Linked DNA regions of Pelodiscus sinensis. The protein of the gene in region 1 purifies or fractionates together with the protein of each later gene. This does not show direct contact. Links are inferred from orthologs where the notes say so. Each region holds a gene or a part of one and is shown in the gene's direction. Other genes may lie near its edges. The genes, in order: VPS41 and VPS33A.

The links.
Region 2: the proteins of VPS41 (region 1) and VPS33A purify together in Homo sapiens (affinity purification with mass spectrometry; 5 studies listed by BioGRID and IntAct, counting the BioPlex papers as one, with this or other methods). This does not show direct contact. The link is inferred for Pelodiscus sinensis from reciprocal best matches to the Homo sapiens genes VPS41 and VPS33A.

Annotation. Positions count from the first base shown.
Region 1 is NC_134712.1:167,505,221-167,516,587, forward strand, and holds the start of VPS41 (vacuolar protein sorting-associated protein 41 homolog), read left to right. Parts: upstream 1-5,394; 5' UTR 5,395-5,409; coding exon 5,410-5,430; exon of another isoform or gene 5,431-5,510; intron 5,511-5,785; exon of another isoform or gene 5,786-5,906; intron 5,907-11,367. UniProt on the Homo sapiens protein: Plays a role in vesicle-mediated protein trafficking to lysosomal compartments including the endocytic membrane transport and autophagic pathways. Acts as a component of the HOPS endosomal tethering complex.
Region 2 is NC_134725.1:33,614,951-33,627,166, reverse strand, and holds the start of VPS33A (vacuolar protein sorting-associated protein 33A), read left to right. Parts: upstream 1-6,982; 5' UTR 6,983-7,038; coding exon 7,039-7,140; intron 7,141-7,962; coding exon 7,963-8,028; intron 8,029-8,487; coding exon 8,488-8,615; intron 8,616-10,439; coding exon 10,440-10,629; intron 10,630-12,216.

The DNA of each region.
Region 1 (11,367 bases):
TTATATATTCCATGGGCTGAGAGCTTCATCTATGGGCTGCTGTTACAACCGGTCTACAATGGACTGGTGGTTATTAGTTCTTGAATCCACTAACTATATCCTCCATCAGTCCTCAGGCTTGTCAACAAATCCCTGCTCTGTGGTCCCTTGGAAAAACCACCAGGTCCTCAGATCCATGAGCCTGAGGGATTTCAGAGTTTCCCTGTAAGGACTCTTCATTTCCATTACATAACACAACTGTTGTGGCTCTGCTGGTTTTGGGACCTGGCTGTCACTGTCCATCTGTTTCTCATATATATTTGTTTCTTACCTTGTGAGACAAGAATCATCTCTCCTTCTTAAGCTTACCCTCTGCTCCTTTCTGTTTTTAAAGTGTTAGGTTTTTAAGAGGACTCAGAGTGCCCCTTTCAGCTTAGCCCTCATTTACCTTTAATAAATAGATAATTGTACTGGCTTTATGTCATTTACTGTTCTTCATACTTTTTCATTTTCTATATAAATTTATTCTGATAATCGTAAAACAAAAAATAGATTGGGGGAGGGAATTGATGAAAAAAAAAATTCCCCTAATTTTCCTTGAGTATTTGAAGACAATTCAGAATACTTTTGAGAAAACTTAACTGCAGAGCACATAAATCAATGGGTTTAAAGTATAAGTAACAGAAATCATGCTCTTATCCATGCCCTTCTCTTTTGCAGTAAATGTTGATTAACAATTTAATGAAATTATTAAGTACCATGTAATGGTAGAACATGTGTATCATAAATGCTCCCACTTTTTACCTCGTCTTTTTTAAATGGTATGATTACTTTGAAATCTGTTTAAAGAACACAATTAGTATAGCATTCACACACTGTATTTTATTCAATTTAACACACATGCATATATACACCTGTGATGCCAACAGTACTAAAGTGAAAGTCAATGGGACCTTGGTCTACTATGTCACTTAGATCCGTTTGAAAATGTTATCCTAGAACATTAACTCTGAGAGAAATTGTTAAGTTTTTTAGTATAAAAGTCATGGGATCATATGGCACTTTGTGATTATAATGTAATGGCTATGTGCAACATTAGATGGTGATTCTGTAAAGACTTACATATAGACTTAGCGTAACACATATGAGTAGTCACATTGAAACTTAACTGCTTAAAGTACACAAAGTTAAGCATGTGCATAAATCTTTACAGGATCAGGGATTTCCCTAGGGCCAGACTGTGATAGCCTCATTCCCACTGCATTGCATATTATCCCGTAAGTACTCCCATTACAGTCAATGGGAGCAATTGTAAATGAAGGTGCTACTGAGCCACAATCAGTATTTCACAATCTAACCCCTAATCATAAAAGAATATGTGCATAATATTTCTCATTTGTAATGTAAAGGGTTATCACATCCTTTGTGAAATAATTTTTTTTAATCTCATAAAACATATATTAAAGTGAACTAAAAAGTATTAAAAGAGGATGGTAGGTGGGTGGTATTTCAAAACAATATAATGCTACCATGTGAAATACAAACATTTTATGAAGCATGCAATTTTGTAAGAAGCTCAAGGTTAACTTCATAGAAGCTAGGGTTCAATTTGAGAATAGACTCACAAAAATAATTCTTTGATGGTATGCGATAAAGAAAAAGACTTTGCAAGCTTCTTTGTAAAATCCAAACATACACCAAAAAAAAAAAAAAAAAAAGAGAGAAAAGCCTTTGAACTTCTATTCTTTTGATGACAGTATTAGCTTCGTTTTATCAGGCTTAAGTGTTTTTAAATGCTATTAAGTCATAGACATTTCTTAACAATGTGAGTGGTGGTGGGGGTCGAGGGAGATAACTCAGCTGAAGTTTGTTTTATTTGAATCAGTCCTACTTGAAACAGACTAAGTGCTCTTAGCACCAGAGACACATCAATATCTAGGAAGTGGTACGGATACTTGCAATTACCATGTTTCAAGGCAGAGAAAAGGAAAGCAAAAACCCAAGATCTGCATTCTGGTGGTGTTTGGAATTTGAACATGGATCAAGACCTATATTGCAATGACAAATCCGATCTTTATAAAAGGATAAATAAAAAAAACTAGACAAAAATTCATCTGTACATTGGAACATTTGAAATCCAGCTTTGTAATTGAATACTTGGTAGACAGCACATGATCTGCATTCTTTTAGGTGACCACTAAGGAACTCCATGGAACTGGAAGTTCTGTATTACAAGAGATAGTACAAACTTTAAAAAAATCCAATTGTGATAATGTTAAAACCCATATTTGAGTATCTTATGAAAACTGTGCGCTTTTTTTTTTTTTTTTTTTTTTTTTTGCTACTAGCAGTACTGCCAGAGTATTACTCTGATTCTAAAAACATGCTTAAACCAAAACTTGATGTGTTTGGAATCTGAACCTGCATCCCAAATGGCCCATATTTGTCTAACTGGCTGACCCAAACCTTCACACCCTCACTTTTGTAAGCATAGTGTCCCCAGCACCATGAAGGAAATGTATGCAATGGTAATTTCTGTTGCATGTTTTAACAGGATACAACATTTGCCCTGTACAGCATTGCCTTTCTATTTACACTAAAATGTAGGTAATAGGAATGTGGGTGAGTGAGCCTTACTGAGTGAGGCTTACCAGTTCCAGTTAACCAGTTAGGACTGGAGCAGCTCCCCACCTGCCATAGGAAAGGAGCTGCCCCGGCAGCCCCTGTCCACCCTTTTGCCCACTTCTTCTTTAATTGGTTTATGGGTTGAACATTACATTTAAACATAAAGTTTGACCAGTTAACCAATTAAATGGGATTTTACATCCTTACTAAGTATTTTCTTTCTAAATGTTGATTGAGAATGAAAGATGCTCTGTAAAGGCCTAAGTCTGACAGATGCTGAATGCCTCAGGTGCTGAAGACATTCAAATCTCATTGATGACCTTACAAGCGAATAGTTCTCAGCATCTCCCAAGAGGCAGAATCAGGTGTTAAAATATTAAATTTGCCTGATACAATAAACACTTGTAATTATGGTAGATTGAATTCATACCTTAAGTATGAACAAACAAAAATTAGTTTTGTGCTTTTCTGCCAAAAATAAGAACGAAGAACATTGTAAGTAAATTACATTGTTTATACCACTTATTCTATGTTTGGTCAAAATAAGAACAGCTGTTATTTAACTGCTTTCTCTGTGACAAACATATTCTTTTATGTGTTAAAGAACCAAAATTTGCCAGGTCTTTGTCATTTTCATAGCAAACATTTAGCTTTAGGCATTTATAAATCAGTTAATAGTATTTATTTACTTTAAAATGCCACATACTTTCAGAGAGTATGAAAGCTTATCCATTAGATATTTGATGAAATCTCTGGCCCCAAAGAAGGCAATGAGCAATTTGCCATTGATTTTAATAGGGCTAGGATTTCACTGTGTATTCCCAGATTTTAGTAGATGTAATTGATTGGTTTAAAATCTACACAAGAAAAAAGACCCTCTTGGTATTAAAACAACAAGAAAAGATGGTATATATTAAAATACTGACATATGTTAGGGAGAATATTTTCTGATACTCTAAAGCCAGAGTATGCAACTATTATGTGGACATGCATCCCTTAGAAGCATATGAACACTTTTGTGCAGGCTCCAGCCCTTAGTCCGAATTGGTTTATTTCAGTTAAATATATGCCATAATGGAGATTAGGTAAATGGCCTGAGTTATGCCCCAGAATCTCATGCAAGGGAAATCACATATGTGTATCACACCAACCCAAAAAAGAAGGGTTTAAACTATAAAATGTCAGCTTGGCACACAGTATTAAAGACAATTAAAAATATAAAGCTACTTGTGAAAAGTAGCAGGGTTATTCCTGATCAGTTGTTGAAAGACTCTCTCTTTTCCTTTATGAGATTTTAAATATTTTAAAATTGCTTCTACTGTAGACCTGTATTGTAGTCAACTTGCTCATGCTTTTGCTCCATCTTCCATTATACATTAACAGAACTGTAAAACTATGCATTATAGATCGACACAGGTAATAGAGAGACTCCTTTAATAAGTGGTAAGAGCTTATGTTTTATGAGAAAAAAAGAGAGTATTCTTCCTACAGTAGCTCTGACTGGTCACTATGCCCCAAAGCGGTGGGCAAGTGAGTGAGACAGCTATTAGAGGGGGTCTTCCCGCAGGCAGAGCTCAAATTTGCTGGAGACTGGGAGCTTTACTTCTTTTTACTGGCCTCTTGCTCTAGCCCAATCAAAATCCTATCACCTGTAAAATAAAATAAATAAAATAAAATAATAAAATAATAATAATAGGAATTGGCAATACTGGAAGAAGGTGATTTTGGTCCCCGCTTCAAGACCTCTGATTAGTGAAACCAACTGAGAGCTGGGTCTCAATGTGCTAGACTCTCTTCAAACATGTAGACCATGTCTACCTAGCCGGGCAAAAGTCAAATTAAAATACACAACTTCAGCTGTGTCAATTGCGTAGCTGAAATAAAAATAGCTTGAATCGGCTTTTAGAGCTATCTACACAGCAGAAAGTTGAAGGAAAAATACTCTTTGTTCGACTTCCCTTACTCTTCATGAAATGAGGGTTACAAGAGTCGGAGTAAGTAGTCCTCCACATCGACATTATTTTGAGATAATGGCTTGCTGCGTAGACGTGCATTTTGTTATTTTGAAATAACGTCAGTTATTCCAAAATAACAGTTCGGTATAGACATAGCCATAGTAACAATTTTCCCTAAACTGAAGAACTTGCAATTCAATGCAAAGCACGGTGGTGGGTTTGAGAAATGGGATCTGTAACTTCTCAACATCATTTTATGTGGGGCTACTAAACTTTCATTAGTTAGCAACAGCTTTTAATTCCTATGGAACTGACCAAGATTCCAACTCTCTCCATTATATTTTAAGTCTCCTAACTGGTATTTTTCGTTAAAGCCCCAGCTTCTGGAATCATGTCAATTCATCAGGCTTTCAAACTTTCATTTTTAAAGAGGAGGCACTCATGGTTGAGGCAAAAAGCATGAAAATGCCAAGTTCAAATTGCTCAATATTTTTAAGACGGGGGGGGGGGGGGTTTCTAGCTGCTAATTTTTTCAGTGGTTGGGGCTGGCAATGCTCTGTCACTATTATTGTATGGTAATGATGCACAGTACGAAGAGCTGGTTTTGCCTGTCCTTAAGGCAAGCACAAACATTAAACTCCCTTATTAGTTTGTAAATGTGCTTAATTCCCTCCCCTTCCCGCCTCCCAGCAAGGGCATGGCAACACAGGTGCAGATGCCCGCCCGCCCGCGCTTTGCCAGCTCTAAGCCCAGCAGAGGCAGAGGAAGTAGAAAAACTACGTTACCCAAACTGCCTCCGCCGCCCTCTGACTTTCAGGGGCCTCTCACATGACTGTCAGGCGGCTGCACCATGGCGGAAGCAGAAGCGAAGGTAAAGGCTGGGCCAGAGCAGGGAGCACTGAGAGCTGCACAGGGGGAGTCCTGGTGTTTGCTCCACGCGGAGGAATTAATCTAGGGGAGCGGAGAGGCCCATGCGCTTGCTCACTGACAGAGAGGAAGCGAGAGCTTGATGGGGGGCGGCAGCAGGGGACGGGAAAGTGGGGAGAGTGTTGTGCGGGGCACGGGCAGCAGGAGGGGGTGGAGATTGGGGAGGACGCTGAGGGTGCAGCAGTAGGATAGGTCAGGTATTGTAAGGGACAGCAGCAAAACAGGCAGGAACTGGGGGGGAGAGAGGCGCCGAGAATGGGGGAGCTGATTCTGTATCCCCTATTTGTAAAGACACCAACCTTGTGTAGGCGCGAAGCCATTTAAAACTGAGCTGGAACTCTGCTTCTCTCCGTCGAAGGTTCAGAGTCGTCACGTTCTCTTTCACCTGTGTGTACACAATAGCGTAACCCCCGAATGAAAGAGCACGGAATCACACGTCACACTACTTGGACATTGATTAAGATATTGGCTATTAAATACCACTCGTGTATTAGGTGGTTTTTTTTGTATCAAATTCCTACTGATTTTGGTGGCTATAATTTGTCACTTTAACTGTTTAGTAATGTGTCCGATCAGTTACTGGTATCAATCAGTTGTGGATTATGAGAAGACAGTATTAGCATTTCTTATATTGTTTTAAAAACAAGATTATTGGTGACTTGTGGGTTGGACCTATTTTATATAATATATATATATACACCAAATAAATATTATTTGGTGTGTGTGTGTGTGTGTGTATACACCCCAACTATTTGCTTTAAGTTATATTTATAATGCCTCATATTATACTATATGGGGACAGTCCTCTTTTTGAGAACAGTATTGTATAGGGAAGTGTGTAGAATTTGTCCATAATTTAAAGTCTTTCATAGCCATTCCATGGTATAGGTCAGAACTATGCTTTAAATCAGGGTTGGGAAACCTTAGGCCTAGGGGCCAGATGCAGCCCCCACCTTGCTTGCATCTAGCCCTTCAAGGCGTGTTCTCCCACTTCCCCCCCATTGGGGACCCTGTGCTTGCACTCCAGTCCCCCTGCTGCCCCATCGCAGAGCTGGAGCACACAAAATCTAGATGGGCCTCTCTAGGCTCTGGTGTGCAAGGAGAATGTGGGGAGTGTCTTTTTTTTCTTCTCAGTCAGGGTGCCATGTCAGTGAGGTGGGTTTTTTTGGGTTTTTTTTCTGCTTCTCACTTGTTTGTGGTCCCCCACTCTTGCTTTAAATTTTTTATCTTTTAAAAACAACTTTTTTATAGTCTGACATCAAAGAAGAGGGTTTAAATCTTTGCAAGACCAAACCAATGTTTGATATTCATTATTATGTGTATCACAGGACTATCAAGTGTCATCTTCATTGATAATTTCTGTTTCTTGAAAGGGATACTAAATTTGTAATGCCTTAGGATTTAGGGCAGAGGTGGGCAATACATTTTTAAAAGGGGGCCACTTCATAAATGGTTGAAGTGGCCCTGGGCTGCCCCAGAAGGGGCAGGAGACTTCTCCCACAGACCCTGATTGGCCTGGGGGTGGGGAAGCTCATGAAGTCATGTCCTCCCCCCCAACCCCTTGCTTAGAGAAAATTGCCAGCTGTTTTAGAACAGCTGGCATTTCTTTTTAAGCTCTGCAGTGGGAGGAGACCTCGCACACTCTCCCTAGCCCCAGACCAATAAGGACCTGGGGCTGGGGGGAGTGCGGGAAGTCTATTGCCCCCTGCCTTGCCAGATGTGTACGACAGCTAGAGAGAAATGCTGTCTGTTTTTAAAATAGCATTTCTAGCTGCCGTGCACCCTTTGCGAAGGTTAGGAGGAGGAGACTTCATGTGCTCCCTCATCTCCAGGCCTGGAGTGGCTTGGCAGCGGGGGAGTGGCAGGGCAGCCACTGGCTGGGTCCTGTGGTGGTCCCTTTTTCCACCCTTGATTTAAGGCAATCTCTTAACTATTGCACATCAGGGTGAAACCCAGTGAGGTGTGGAGGTGGTCTTGTAGTTTATCCCATTTCTGCCTGCTGCTGGGTTCTTTCCCCTAGAATTATATAGTAGTGGAATGCTGAACTACATGAATCCACTATGGTGATTCCTGTGCATGACTGAAGCACATTTGAAGTGAATCCAGGAGTCAGCCTGTGCAACATTTGTGCTGCAGAGCCAAATTCTGCTGGTCTCTGCGTGCAGCAGTTTTAGAATGGGGCCTTGTCAATTGGTAAAAGTACATGACTCTGGAAGCGAGTATTACTGTAATAACCTTACAAATAGTGTAATCATATATATAGTAGCCCAGTGTCTGAGAGTCTGTAATGCTGAAATGCTGGCTGTTCCCTCTGGGCAGCCTGTGCTGCTTGCTCCCTGCGGCGGCCCGGCTGAGCAGTGCAGAAGTCAACCTAGCGCCACGGCGGGAGGGGAAGAGGGGCAGGGCAGTGACATACATGGCCGGGGGCGGGGCCTGGCCATGTACGTCACCGCCCCGCCCACCTTCGCCTCCCGCCATGGCTCTCGGCTGACTTCTGCGCCACTCAGCTGGGCTGCCATGGGGGAACCTAAACGGACGCTTGCTCCCCTGTAGCGGCCTGGCTGAGCGGCGCAGAAGTCAGCCAAGCGCCATGGTGGGAGGCAAAGGGGGGGGCGAGGTGGTGATGTGCGGCATGACAGCGGCTCCAGGCCCTGCCCCTTGGCCGTGAACGTCACCACCCCACCCCACCCTCCTTCGCCTTCTGCCGTGGCGCACAGCTGACTTCTATGCTGCTCAGCCAGGCTGCTGCGTCCCCCGAGTGAGAGGCAGGAGGGGGAGGAGAAGGAGAAGAGAGAGACAGGAGGCGGAGGAGAACTGGAGGGGGGGCGGAAAGGAGGAGTACATGCACGTGCACACACACACACAGAGACAGACAGACCAGAGGCTCAGGAGAGAAGACTGACATGGAGGAGAGACCTGAAAATCCCATCTTATGACGGGCTAATTGGCTAGTGGGTAATATTATGTATTTATGGTCCAATCCTGTCAACACTGTATAGTCAGTGGGCTCGTCTACACTGGCCCCTTTTCCGAAAGGGGCATGCTAATTTCACAGGTCGTAATAGGGAAATCCGCGGGGGATTTAAATATCCCCCGCGGCATTTAAATAAAAATGTCCGCCGCTTTTTTCTGGCTTTTAGAAAAGCCGGAAAAGAGCGTCTACACTGGCCCCGATCCTCCGGAAAAAAAGCCCTTTTCCAGAGGATCTTATTCCTACTTTGAAAAAAGTAGCGGACATTTTTATTTAAAAATGCGGAAAAAAGCGGCGGACATTTTTATTTAAATCCCCCGCGGATTTCCCTATTACGACCTGTGAAATTAGCATGCCCCTTTCGGAAAAGGGGCCAATGTAGACGTAGCCAGTGGGATTACTCCTGTGCAGTGTGTTACACACTTAAATGTGGGCAGCGTTGAGACCTAGTTTTAATGTATTTTACAATAAACTTTGGGAGATAGGATTTAATGTCAGGGTAGCAGGTGTCAGCACACAGCTAATTGCTATGTGCAGGCTGCTTCACTTCAGAAGATGAAGAATGCAGAGGTGGAAGAAAGAAATGAGCCCATCTGAATTGGTTGGAGAGATTTCCTGCTGGAAGCTGAGGAATGAGTACAGGGTAGGATGGGATATATGCTGGGAGTCAGCTGAAATTTTGGTTGTTCTAGGCCCTCAAGTCCTCTTTTAATGTATGTGTTACTTCTAAGATGGAATGTTCTACACATATTCGCTCTATAGTATTCGCTCTATTCTTTTAGCATTTATGTGGTTCCCTTATGTGAGACAAGAATAAAATAGATTTAAGAAAAGTTTCCTAGCTCAAGTGTAGCAGTTTCATATGCTATAAGTATAATTTGTTTAAAGCCTTCAGAAAATTGGCTTTTCCATATCTACTCCACTGACACACACATACTTTTTGACAGACTATTGGTGGGTGGGTGTGTGTGTGTGTGTTTTAAAGGGTTGGAGGGGCATAAGAGAGCTTAGGAGAACTGTTTTCCCAGGATTGTATACCTAAACATGCAGAAGTTTAAGTTCTCTGGAGGAGGCCGATCCTAATGTTGGTATTTATAGGCTGTACCCCTTCTGCAATGTTAAGGATTTTACCGGTTGAGACTGTTTCTCTTGTGTTCTCTCCATTGTCTGTTACTAAAACCAATAATTAGTGGATATTAAAAAGAAACAGTCAAATATAAAAGTATCATTAAAATGCTTATGGTCTATTAACAAACACCTTTGGTTATTAAACCAGTCTAAATTAATTGTTTGCACTTCTCTCCCTTTCAGCTGTTATATGAGAGTGGTCTTTTCACTTTTACATGTAGTGACCGGTGTTTGAGTTTCCATGCATGGGAGAAAAACTATAAATAGTGTGTGTATGCAGGTGGACTTTCACTGGAATTTAAGCTTTTTGATTCTCCTTCCCTACATATCTAAGATATGGGCCTTAAGTCAGTTAATGGCAACTGTTTTTAATATAAAGGAAAAACCCTCCCACAATGTAGATCAGGCCTGGGCAAAATACGGCCCGCCAAGCCACCGGATCTAGCCCGGGGATGCGGCAGGCAGCCCTAGGCATTCTTTGCCCCACCCTCACACTCAGAAAGGCAGCTGCTGGGAGGTTTCACTTTAAAATCTGTGAGCCTGAAGGGGAGGAAGGAAGGCTTTAGGAAACTGGCCAGAAGCACCGTGCCCCCTTCCCTCCGAGGCTCCTAGTTATTCACAGAGGACATGGCTGCAGCCTGTGTGGAGACAGGGCAGGCAGAGAGGCTGCTTCAGGAAAGTGCTGGGCTACTGACTGGTAAGTCTCCTGGCCAGAGCCTGCCTCTGGCATCCCGGTCTCTCCCTCCCCCAACCCTCTGCCCCCCCCCCCCCCCCCCCACTCCTGTCCTCTACTCCATATACCCAAATTCTCTGCCCCCCTGCTGCATGCATATCCCCTCCCAGATCTGGTACCCCAGTCCTCTGCCTCAGATCACTCCCCTCCTGCCCTAGTTTACAACCCAACCCCTTGCACCTCCTCCTGTACCCCAGTTCCTTGCCCTAAGTCACAGTCCAACCCCCTGCACTCAGTCCAGTGCCCCAGGTCACTACAGCCTCATTCACCAAAACTTCTTCCCTTACTCCAAGCTCCCTTCTGCACCCAACCTCCGTCTCAGACCTCGCACCTTCTCCATTAATATCATGGAAGAGTGCCGCCCTCAACCACTTTCCAAAATCTTGGAGTTGTCCCCCCATCAAAAATTATTGCCAACTCCTGATGTAGATGGGAAACTGCATTAGGTGAGATAAATACATTGTTAAATCTGCCAGCTCAGAGATTAACTATATTGGTAAATTTTCCCAGTTTTCTCATCTGTGCGTCATTTCTCTGTTCTTGGGCTTCTTGAAAACCAGCATCTGCCAAGTGGCTTTATTATACATCAACACCACCACTGATTCCCCACCTGCTTCCACTCTAGAGTGTGATGGGCCTGCCAATGACAGTGATTAGTTCACTGTTTTGGATTCTGGTCACTTACTAGTCACTCATCAGGGATTTTCTGTTCACAGTTAGGAGACTATTTTAAAAATAAAAAATGGAATTCGGGATAATCCTCTTGGTTCATACATTTAAAAAAAATCCACCCACCGAAACCCCATTGTAGTCATGACTGCAGTTACTGTTCCAATTTTACCTGTGGGAATGGGAGAAGTCAGGCAGAAAGCTTTTCAGAATAACTCTCTTGTATTGTGAGCATAGTGCCTGTCAATTCGAAACACCCAAAAACACTGGTAGCGTTGTGTCTGGTGATGCAGAATCTGTTGATTAGCTTTCCAAATCAAGATTTCCCTTTTAATTTTTTGCTCAGCATTTCCTATAAAACTGTCAGAGCTGTACATTTT
Region 2 (12,216 bases), on another chromosome or scaffold:
AAAATGTAAAACCACCTCAGTATTGGGAGATATTTATTACTGTGTTTCCTGTGGAAAAAAATCTTCCAGCAAATGTGTGTCCTCTAGGAAGTTTTCAGTCAAGTCCATAGGGAATGAAGCATTTATGCTAATTATTTCATTATATGTTTTCCCTGGTTTTTGTTTTGTTTTCAGATGAATGTAAAATGGAAAATTCAAACTTCAATAATTGTGAATTTTCTTATAAGAAAAAACATAAAAAGGAATGAAGAAGTGAAACTATCAGAATGCAACATGGTCTTATACTAATGTTCAGATGTACCTTATTACACAGATATTTAAATTAATTTCAGAGGGGCTACTCATAGTAAGAAAACATTCAGCATGAGCAAGGGTGGATCCATCAGGCCCTAAATAATTTATTCAGATGGCTTAAATCTATCTTCTTCAAATGTCTTTTAGCGTATGTAAAAAAAATAAAAATAAAAAAACCTGCATCTTCCCTGCTATATTGCTATTGTACAATATACAGTATCTGGGTTTACTCTTTTATATAACTGTTCATGTATTTTTTTTGCTCAAGATCGTCAACCAAGTGTCTGGTACATGAAATAAAATACATCTTTGGTAATCATTTTAAATTTGGGGTAATGAATGTATTATAGTAATAGGAACAACAGCAGGGAAATCAATTAAAGAAATGTGTACTGTATCTCCTTTAATAAATGATTATTCTCTTGTCATCTTTGTCTTGCATTCTTGCTATTTCTCAGAAAATGTACAGGGGCACTTACTTAGAAATAAAAAAGAAATAGATAAATGGAAGAGTTCTTCCAGTGGCACGGAATGATGGGTAATGTTTCTAGAGCCCTGACCAAATCCCACAGGGAAAGACCCCATCCTTTCTGGACTGTGTGGGATTATTCTACAAGGAGGGAAACTGGGGTAAGAAAATTTCCATTTGGATTGTTGGAGCCCCAAATGTGTACTAGAACCTATTTATTTTTAATGTAGACAGGCTATGTGAGATTTGCTTATCTTTCACGGAAGATAGGTTTTGGAATGTCAGTAGATAGCAGTGAAGCTTTTTGATTTACTGATCAAAACTTAAGCTTTCTACAAAAAATTGCAAACTACAAATTTAATAGAAACATTTATTATATAGATTTTAAATTTCAGTGAAATTGACTGCAGTGGATTTAAACACTAGCACAGTGGTTAGCAGCGCCCTGGCCGCATGTGGCCTACTGAGACTCCACCTGCAGCTTGTGAACCCTCTATCTGCCCCCTCCCTCGTGGGGGTGTCTCACTCTGGGGCACTGGAGCCCCACGCTGGCTGTTCCAGCTCTGGGCAGGAGCGGGATGCAGCATGAATCAGATGATGTGGTGCTCCAAAAGTGCTGGGAGGGTGGGAGAATAGTAGGGCCCACTGAACTGGATAGCCACTCATGCAGCCCATTCACTCTTCTTGGTTGCCCATTGCTGCTGTAGCAAATGCTGTATGTGTAAAATACATGTCACATTAGACCCCTGCATGAGGGCTTGTAGGCACTACTGTCCTCCTCCTAGTTGTATTTAATTAATAATTATTTGTGTCTTGACAGATCTGCACACTCTAAGGCACCTCCTCATCGGTTTCATCAGGGTCACTTGTCTATTTCACATAAGGGAGGTTTGAAAGTTGTTGCACTATTGCTAAACATTCACCACGGATTATGGATATGAAAGGGTAAAGGAGTACACTGTTAAAAGAAGCATGCCCTCTCTCGTCCTATTTCAGAGGCAGCAGTGGGAGCTCCTCATGAGCACCAGCTTCTGGGAAGTTCCTTACCCGCCCTCCAATGCTGCTGCAGAGGCAACAGTACCACGGTGCATGGGAGCCAGCATGTATCAGCTGCTTTGGCACACCCCACTGCCTCTGACATGGAGTAGTGAGGGGAGGGGCAGGGGGACAGATGGGAGCTGGTGCACATGGAAGCTGGCTTTTCAGTTGGCTTCACACAAGCTTGCTGCCTCTGATACAGAGCTTGTGTTGTTGCAGAAGGAAACTGTCATGAAAACAACTCCCTGTTGTCAGGAAGCTTCACTCTAGAATACAGCAGGATTGTAAAACATGCTTGTCATGGCTCCTTCCCCACTCTGGCATGATAAATGCAGAAGTGGGGGCCAGCAAGTGTACCCCAAAGCCTTATCTACCAGGCTTTGGTATAAAACTTCCCCAAAAATCTTAAAAACCTAGATTTTGGGAATAAAACTTCCGCTGCCACCACCCAAATGTTGATAACGAGATTAGGGGAAAGATCATTTGGGAAATCTCACCCCATTATAAAAATCAGGACACACAAGTAACCAATGCCAGGTTAATAAAAAGAAAAGAGAACTTTTATTATTACAACAATATTCATGTTGCAAGCATAAGGATGAGATGGAAAGGCGACAAAATATACTCATGGAGAAACTCCATGGGCCTAGAGCTTAGTTACAAAGAAAAGCCAAAACATCTTTTAAACAGTGCCAGATCTCAGATCCCATACCCAACCCTTAAAACAATAAAGCCTAATGAAACTACTTAAACATTACCCTACTTACAGAAAATGAAGAATTGTTTCTTGGAGAGAAAGACCTGCTTGTCCCTCTATGTAGCTGCAGAGGACTCTCAGAGACAAAAGGGAGAAAGGAAAGAACCCAAAATCCTTTGTCCCAGTTTGAAAATCCCACCTACATTCCTACTGGTCACTCCACCTGGCTAGGTGTAGTTAACCCCTTAATCCCCAGGCTGCTGGCTAACCCTCATAATTATGACAATGCTGTCCTGTTGTATTTTTACCTGCTGAACTTTTGGATAGTAACGAACCTGGACAGAATGGGGAGATGCAGTAAGACTCAGCAGAGAGACCTTAGGTAGAGGGATGCATGAAGAAGCCTGCTTGAGCAGGAATTGTCAGAAGGCATAGAGAGCAATGACACTCAGACTGAGGCTTGAGTCTCACATGTGACTTGATGTTTCACCTTCAGCTCATGTTAAAATGCTGTGTAATTTAACTAAACAATAAGAATGTTTACTATGTTAATAACCAATTGTAGTTGATAAAATATTTGGTCAGTCATTTTGCTATGAATTATAATACAAAAATGATACGTGAATTCACACTACTGTGGCTCCCTTAGGTAATGCTGACCACTAATTTGGCTCCTGAACCACTGATTTCAGAGTATCACTGACTTATAGCCCGGTGATGGGCATCTTAAGTTAGGGAGTGGGCCACAGGAGTGGCCCTCCATCTCAGTGGGCCACAAGACTGTTGTATCCATGATGGTTTCCCAAGTTAAGATAGTTTTGCTAACTGTGCTTACATACCTAGAATTTGCAGTGTGCCGACTGAACCCTAGCAGTGCTCTGACAGGATACAGAGGGACTGCATGGCTTCTACAGTCACTGTTGTGTGCAATCAGCACATGCCTCACTTCATGTGGTTGTTACTTCAGTAATACAAATTGTGTGTGGGGGGGGGAACTGCACAGATGGAAACGAGTAGACTCTGGCAACCCTGTATCTGGACAAAGGTAAACAAAATGTCTTGCAGGCTACATACAGAACTCTGACGGATCACCGGTTGCCCAATGCTGCTATAGCATCTCTAGCATCCTACAATACTTTTCAGAAAGTGCGTCCTCAGGAAGTGGCATGTCATAAGGAAAGGGGCAGTTAAGAGCTACCACCAGTGTTTTCAAAAGTGGAGGTTAGTGTTAGGCCCTTAATCTAACTGGGTATGTCTACGCTACCACCCTAGTTCGAAGTAGGGTGGTTAATGTAGTCATTTGACGTTGCAAATGAAGCCTGGGATTTAAATATCCCGGGCTTCATTTGCATCTTGCCGGGCGCCGCCATTTTTAAATCCCCGTTAGTGCGGACTCCGTGCCTGCGGCTACACACGGCATGGAGTAGGTAGTTCGAATTAGGCTAATGGGGATTTAAAAATGGTGGCACCCGGCAAGATGCAAATGAAGCCCGGGATATTTAAATCCCAGGCTTCATTTGCAACGTCAAATGACTACATTAACCACCCTACTTCGAACTAGGGTGGTAGTGTAGACATACCCACAGTTATTATGCTGCTTGCTACATTGGCCACCTCTGTTTAGGTACCTAACTTTAGGCTCCCATGCATGAAGCAGATGCTAGCAGAGGGAGACAGAAAATGAGGAGTTATATGCAACTGAGGCTTATGATAACATATAAGTTATGACACAAAGGGGGCCCCTCCTCTAATCAAGTTAAAATGGGACATCAGAGATGATCAGAAGCAATGGTCTTAGCTGGAACCACTCACCTCTTTCAGAAATTTGCCTTATGAGGGAAAGCTAAAAAAAAATTAGATCAGCCATGAGATGGTCTGGCCAGATTTTCTTGGTTCTACCTGAGTGCAGGGGCAATGCCTAATAAGCTCTTCTGACGTTCCTTCCAGCACTATATTTCTATGATTCTATGGCTGGAACTTACCGATCAGACAGATTTATTATTTACAGAGCTTAAGGAGACTACTAGCATAGTTTTTTCCATGTTACCTCCAGTATTGGTGGTGGTACACTATGAGGCTTTTAGTTTATCTCCAAGAGATCCTGAAAAAATCACATGTCCATCTTAACAAATAAAGAGACTTATACTGGTAATGAAATAAGGTTTAGCAGTACAACTGTCACTTCGGATGTGATTTATTACTATTAGTTTATCAGTAGTTAATTTTGGGCTATAGCTTATTTGGTTTGGAGAAATGGTATAAGCTATTCTACCAAAAGCATATTACCCCAGTGTAAGTAGGCATTTTTGCCACAGAAATTCTTCAGTTAACCTAGCAACGGTGACAATAAAACTTAGGTCACCTTATCACACAAGCAGAGATGCTTTTAACAGCCCTGACCTACCTTTTTATCAGGAACTAGCCCCTTGTGTGTACAACTCTTTGCCAGACATAACTATATAGTAGAGGGATGCACTTTGTTTCATTCCAAGATGACATAGCCGTTGTGACAATGTTTTAAGCACAAATCAGCCCCAAGACCAAGACTCCAGTAAAAACCCTGCCCCATGGGTGCTATTACCTCAGTATCTCCCCCTTCTCAGTGCTGCTGCTGTTTCTCCCATATCACCCAGAGGGCAGGTGCAGTTACCCCAATACTCCCAGCTCATTACAGCAGTATCTGCCCTCCAGTGCAGTTATTAGCTCAGGACCTCCTTCCAGCTTCTTGTTACCCAGGATCCCTTTTCCCCTACTCCTTCCAGCACAGGGCTCCTACCTAGGGATGCAATTTCAGATTTTAGTGGGCGGGGGGGGGGGGGGGGGAACCTGTGCATGTAGTGATAGTGGGGGGATCAGAGTGAGGACAGCAGGTTCAGTAGTGTTATTCATCATTCTCAGTTTCCTCCCTCTGGGGCATTTGGTACTGGCCACTGACAACAGACAGGATAATAGGCTGGATGGACTGTTAGTCTGACCCAGTACGGCCATTCTTATGTACAAGCTAAGCAGTAAATTGGGGGGTGGGGCAGAACAACCCTATTCGTCCCTCCCCCCCACACACATATCAATCACTTCTTTCCAGGAGCTATTAAGGCATTTGAAAACTCTGTGTTTTTTTTGGCAGATAACTTACTAATGAGCTGACAAGAGCATTGTTTTTAATTCCTATATAAAGAAAAATATATTAAAACCATTCAGCTCCTATATGAACTTGTGAGGCAGGTCTCTTAAAGGTCACTAGCTAGGCTTAAAATTTAATGTATATTCTTTATTACTGACTCTGCAGGGAGAAAGAGGCACACAGTCAGGACTCCTGGGTTCCATCTCAACTCTGGGAGAGGAGTGGGGTCTAGTGGGTTACAGCAGGGAGTTGCTACATCAGGGTTCTATATAAGAATATCATAATGGCCATACTAGATCAAACAAATAGTCTATGTAGCCTTGTGTCCTGTCTTCCAATAGTGGCCAATGCCAGAAATGAACAGAAAATGTAATCAAGTGATCCAGCCCTTGTTGGCCATTCCCAGCTTCTGGCAAACAGAGGCTAGGGACACCATCCCTGCCCATCCTGGCTAACAGCCATTCATTGCCCTATCCTTTTTTAACTTACTTTGTTTTTATTGGAATCCTGTTATAGTTTGGGCCTTTTCAACATTCCCTGGCAGAATTCCACAGGTTGACTAAGAAGAAATAATGTCTTTTGTTTGTTTTAAATCTGCTGCTTGTAAATTTCATTGGGTGACCTTAGATTAGTGAAGGAATAAATAACCTTTCCTTATTCTATTTTTCCACACCATTCCTGACTTTCTATATTGCCAAAATATCCCTCCACTCTTTAGTCATTTCTTTTCCAAGTCCTAGTCTTGTTAATCACTCCTCATAGGGAAGCTTTTCTTTAATGCCTAAACATTTGTTACCCTTTGTGTACCTTTTCCAAATCCAATACATCTTTTTAAATGGGCTGACCAGAGCTGCATGTGGTATTCAAGATGTGGGTATGCCGTGACTTTATAGTAGAGGCAATAGGATATTTTCTTATCCCTTCCTTTCCTAACGCTTTCTAATAGTCTATTAGCTGTTTAGCTTGCCACTGAACACTGAGCATGTTTTCAATGAACTATTCCCAGTGACTCCAAGCTCTGTTCTTGATGCAACAGCTAATTGAGACCATGTTGTTTCATTCTGGCTGGGATTATAGTTCCCCACGTGCACCCCTGTGACTGTCAGTGCAGAATTCCACCTGCCACCCAGCGCCCTTTGTAATAACGATTGACCCGCCCCCTTTTCCTCAGCGCCAGTTACTCCAGCCCCTCCCCCCAGGACGCAGCGGCGCTCGTCACCACGTCCCCTGGGCAGAACAAGCCCCGCCTGTAACGGCCCTCGTCACCGGGTCACGTGGCTGCTGCGGGGCAGCGTTTATAGCCGGCTGATGCCCAGGCGCTAGGAGGCGGGGTCTGAGTGGAGGGCGGGGGGAGGAATGGAGAGCCTGGCGGGGTCACGTGACCGGCTGTGTCAGGTGATCGGCCGGGCCTGGCGGGGGATGGCGGCGCACCTGAGCTCGGGCCGGGTGAACCTGACGGCGCTGCGCGAGGCCGGGCGCAGGGAGCTGCGCGAGTTCCTGGACAAGTGCGCGGGCTCCAAGGTGAGGGAGCGCCCCTCCCCCCCCCCCGGGGCGTCAGCTGCTGCCCAGGGACTGGCCCCCGAGACCCCGCCCCCCGCTGCCCCCGGCTCCGAGACCCCCCCCGCCCGCCCGCCTCTCCCCAGGCTCTGAGCCCCCCCACTGCGCCTCCCCCCGTCCCGCTCACCCTCGGGTCCCTGCCCCCAGGCCTGGCTCCAAAACCCTCGGGCCCTGCTCTGCGCTGCCTGGGTCTGAGACCCCTGCGGGGCTGCTCCCCCCCCCACGTGGCAGCCCTGGGGTGTTAACTCTTGGAAGCTTTACACACTACATCCATGGTGTGCAGCATCTCTGAAATGTAGCCGCCTCTGTGGGGTAAGAGAGGCAGAGCCTGGGAGTACAAGTCACTGCACAGGAAGTGCCTTTCACTTGCCTTCACTAGGGCAGATAGAAAGCTCACATAATGCTCTGACCAGCCCTATAAATGGACGGACAGTGACCATGTCACTGGGTTCAGGTTCTTGACTTGATCTGAGTGGAAATCCATAGTCTTCAGCATTGTCTGTGTGGCTGCACCAAATTTCTTCCAGTGTCCAGCCATCCCAGTCCCTTTGTCTGTCTCCTTTGCTAGATTCACTGATTTTTTTTTTCTATTTAGTAAACATCTCTTGGGAAACTTAATGAGTGTATTTGAAGTACATTGTGCTCCTCTGATTCACCCAGTAATTCATGACTGACTTAAAATCGGAACTTCTCCCAAAACAAATGTTTGAGCAGCGTATCACCTTCAGTAAGAGTTTTCTTTCTTCCTTGTGTAAACTGACTTTTCTGAGGCTTTTTTCTTCCTAGGCAATAGTGTGGGATGAATACCTCACAGGACCCTTTGGATTAATTGCGCAATACTCGCTTTTAAAGGTAAGGTCTACATGACATCCATGTTGTGTTTATTAAGACTGAAATTTCAAAAAGCTCTTTGGACCCTCAGTCTCTTAATGGCTTTTAGAGCCATTAGCACAATTTCTATAAACTGTCCTAGAGTTTGCCTTTCAAATTTACCATGATTTGCTGGGCTAAGGTGTTGTCATATAGCAGATATTCCTTTTGGAATATCGCTTACTGCTCTTCTGCCAACTTTCCTCCTACAGACCAGGTATGTCGAACCTCCATCTTTAATGATAGTGTAACGCAGTAAACTAATAATTTGCATAATAAGCATGTGGAAATAGAAGATTAATTCCATGTTGTTGTCCTTTGATAAGGCATCAGAGTAACAAATAGCAGATTGGGTAACTTAAGCTGATGTAGCCCTTTCTGAAACCAATTTTCAGCATAACAAGAAGCTCTTGATTGAATATCATTTTTGTCTCCTCATAGGAACATGAGGTGGAGAAGATGTTCACCCTCAAGGCGGGACGTCTGCCACCTGCTGATGTCAAGAATATTATTTTCTTTGTCAGGCCCAAGCTAGAATTAATGGACATAATTGCTGAAAATGTGCTCAGGTATAGTTGGTGTTTCAGTGGAAAGGCAACAGCTGCATCTCAAAACTAGGTGATTGGGCCACACAGTGACAGATTACATTTAATGTTGATAAATGCAAAGTAATGCACGTCAGAAAACATCATCCCACCTATACATATAAAATGATGAGGTCTAAATTAGCTATTACCACTCGAGAGAGATCTTGGAGTTCTTGTGGATAGTTTTCTGAAAACATCTATTCAGTGTGTATGTGGCTGTCAAAAAAGCAAACAATATTGGGAATAATTAAGAAGGGGTTAATCAAACAGAAAATATATTACCTCCATATAATCCGTGGTACACCTATACCTCGAATACTGTGTGCAGATGTGACCACCTCATGTCAAAAAAGATACATTGGAATTGGAAAAGGTTCACAAAAGGGCAAAAAATGGATTAGGGGTATGGAATGGCTTCTGTCTGAGGAGAGGTGAATAAGACTGAGACTATTCAACTTGGAAAAGAGATGGGGGGCATATTTGGGGTCTATAAAAGTAGGACTGGTATCAAGAAAGTAAATGAAGGGCTATTTATTCTTTACATAAGAACTATGGGGTCATTCATTTCATTTGATAAGTAGAAGGTTTAAAACAAAAGGAAGTTTTGCTTCACAAAACATACAATCAGCCTGTGGAACTCTTCCTCAAGGATGCTGTGAAGGCCATTTTTGAACTATAACAGTGTTTTTTTTTTTTTTTTTTTTTTTTTTTAAAGCTAGATAAACTCATGCAGGAACGATCCATTAGTCGCTGTTAGCCAGGATGGTCAGAGATGGTGTCCCTAGCTTCTCAGAAGCTGGGAATGAGTGATGGGATGGATCACTTGATGATTATCTGTTCTGTTCATTCCTTCTGGGGCACCTGGCATTGGACACTGTCAGAAGACATTTGGTCTGGCCCAATATGGCTGTTCTTACCTTCCTATTCTTATATACTCAAAGCTGTGATGGTTTAGTGGGGTTCATGTTTTCTTTTTCCCCCTTTTGCCTCCCCACTGTCCCAGGTTCATACCAGGTGTCAGTAGTAAATGAAATAAGTAGGGTAGATTTCGGCCTACTCACTAATAATTAATCTGTCACTTCAGTGTGAAACAGCTACTTAACTTGGCAGGACTAAGATCAGAATCCTCACCTATAGGTACTACACCACTTGAATGCAGTCATTTCTGGGATTGGAGGTTGAGAAGCAGGTGCATAGCAACAAGATGGAGAGGGGGAATTTTTTGCTTAAAGATACCAAGAGACTCTACTCAGTTTTCTTTAATTGAACATGAATGGTTCCTTGGCAGGCAGTTCTTGTTTGAACGATCCACCCACAGTCAACTGCAAAAAGTAAAGGCAACTCTGTTTGGGATACAAACAGGGCCGGATTAAGACCTGAAGCACTGAAAAGATTATGGTGCCCCCCCCCCCCCATATGTAATTCAAAATAAAAACAATACTATACCATAAAAATCTCATCTTTTTTGGTGCCCCTGCTTTGCTGGTGCCCTAAGCATGTGCTTAGTCTGCCTATTGGGTAATCCAGCCCTGGATTCAAACCTGTGGTTCTGAGCAGCATACATCTTGCCAAGCTGCTTAGCCCACAGACCTACTGCTTAGCCTTTAAGCCATTTTGTACAACATGAGGGCTGTGTGCAGGATTGCCTTTATTAATAAGGAACTAGAAAGTACCAGGAATGTGGGTACTTCCATTTATTGCTCCTTTGTCTAAGCAGCACATCTTCTCTGTTGCCAGTCTGAGTAACCATGGTCAGCATGTACTGTGCTTCTATACGCATGACAACTTAAGCTGAGTCTCTTTCAGTGAAGACAGAGTTCGCTCTCCGCAGAGGGACTTCCACATTTTGTTTGTGCCCCGTCGCAGCTTGTTGTGTGAACAGCGGTTGAAAGATCAGGGAGTACTGGGGTCCTTCATTCATCGAGAGCAGTACAGTTTGGACCTCATTCCGTTTGATGGAGACTTGCTATCCATGGAGTCTGAAACTGCATTTAAAGTAAGTCCTGATGTTTCCCTTGAGAAAAATGATACTTTGCACGTTTGTATGGTGTCGTCACCCAAGGATCTCAACACTTTCCAGATGGATTAGCTGCCAGGCAATAAAAGGAGCTATAGAGCAAATGTGGTCAGATTCTGGTAGAACAGTGCACTTAAGAGTTAGAACTCCTGGGCTTTGTTTCTGACTGCCACGATGCACCTCAGAACGAATCACTTTAGGCCGTGTTGTGTGCCAGTTTCCCCATCTGAATAATGTGAGCAATACTTGTACAAACAGCATTTGTGAGGGTAATCTTTACAAAGAACTTCCAATGTATTGTCAAATGTGTGACAAAATGGTAAGTGTAATTGTTAGGCTGCCACACACCATAGTAGCACAAAGACTTAACACTTGTCTTAAGATGGGCCACAGTGCTGTGTCTGTATCCTGCATCACCAGCACAGCACGTGTAATGCCAATTAAATCTATGTGAGGCTTTCAATTTGTTAATGTATTGACTCAAGCCCTGGGTGAGCAGCAGAGGGGTTGTCAGAACATGATAAAACTTGCCAGCTTGGTGACACATTTTCTAATTGACTTGAGTCACCGGAAAGAGACTTTTTGTTGCAGCTCTTACTCGGCAGCATTACATATGGAGCAGCACATTGCTTAGAGGATTCTAAAATAACACATTCCCAAATAGCAATTATTAATTCTTTGAGGATAGAGCCGGCAAGATGAAGAGTTGTGCTGCTTGTGAGACCAGCTCTTTTCATTGCTGGTACACATGAATGTTGTTGCTTTCCAGTCCAGTTACTGGGCTGCTGGCTGGAGTGTTACAGCTGTGGTTTTTCCAGAAGGAGTAATTGAACTACTCATTGTAGCTCCTGGCACCAGCTATTATCTTTCCTATCCTCTTGAATGCTTCTCACTGTTAAGGTCTCTCTGCTCTGTGGAGGAGGGCTCTGGACTTTATCTCAAGGTCATTTATTTCTTCCAAAACTTAATTTGTTCTGTGCATGTCTAAATAACCAGCCCCTGCACCTGCAATGCTGTATGACTGGTTAAATAGCATGGTGAATTGTAGCTTTCATTCTCACTTGGGCTTAGTTCTGGACACCCCTCCAGTTGGCATTGCTGGAAACCACTGTCCTGTTTAACTATGAAACATATACAGGCAGTCCCCGGATTATGTACAAGATAGGGACTGTAGGTTTGTTCTTAAGTTGAATCTGTAAGTCGGAACTGGCGTCCAGATTCAGCCGCTGCTGAAACTGACCAGCGGCTGACTACAGGAAGCCTGAGGCAGAGTTGCTCTGCCCCGGGCTTCCTGGAATCAGCCTCTGATCAGTTTCAACAGGCTGAATCTGGACACCAGTTCCGACTTACATACAGATTCAACTTAAGAACCCCAGGTGTCCCCAAGTCAGCTGCTGCTGAAACTGATCAGCAGCTGATTCCAGGAAGCCCGGGGCAGAGCAACTCTGCCTTGGGCTTCCTGTAGTCAGCGCTAGTCAGTTTCAGCAGCGGCTGAATCAGGACGCCTGGGGCAGAGCAGCTGGGGTGCTGCCGGGTTGGTCCAGTAGCGCCCAGAGCGGCGCTGCG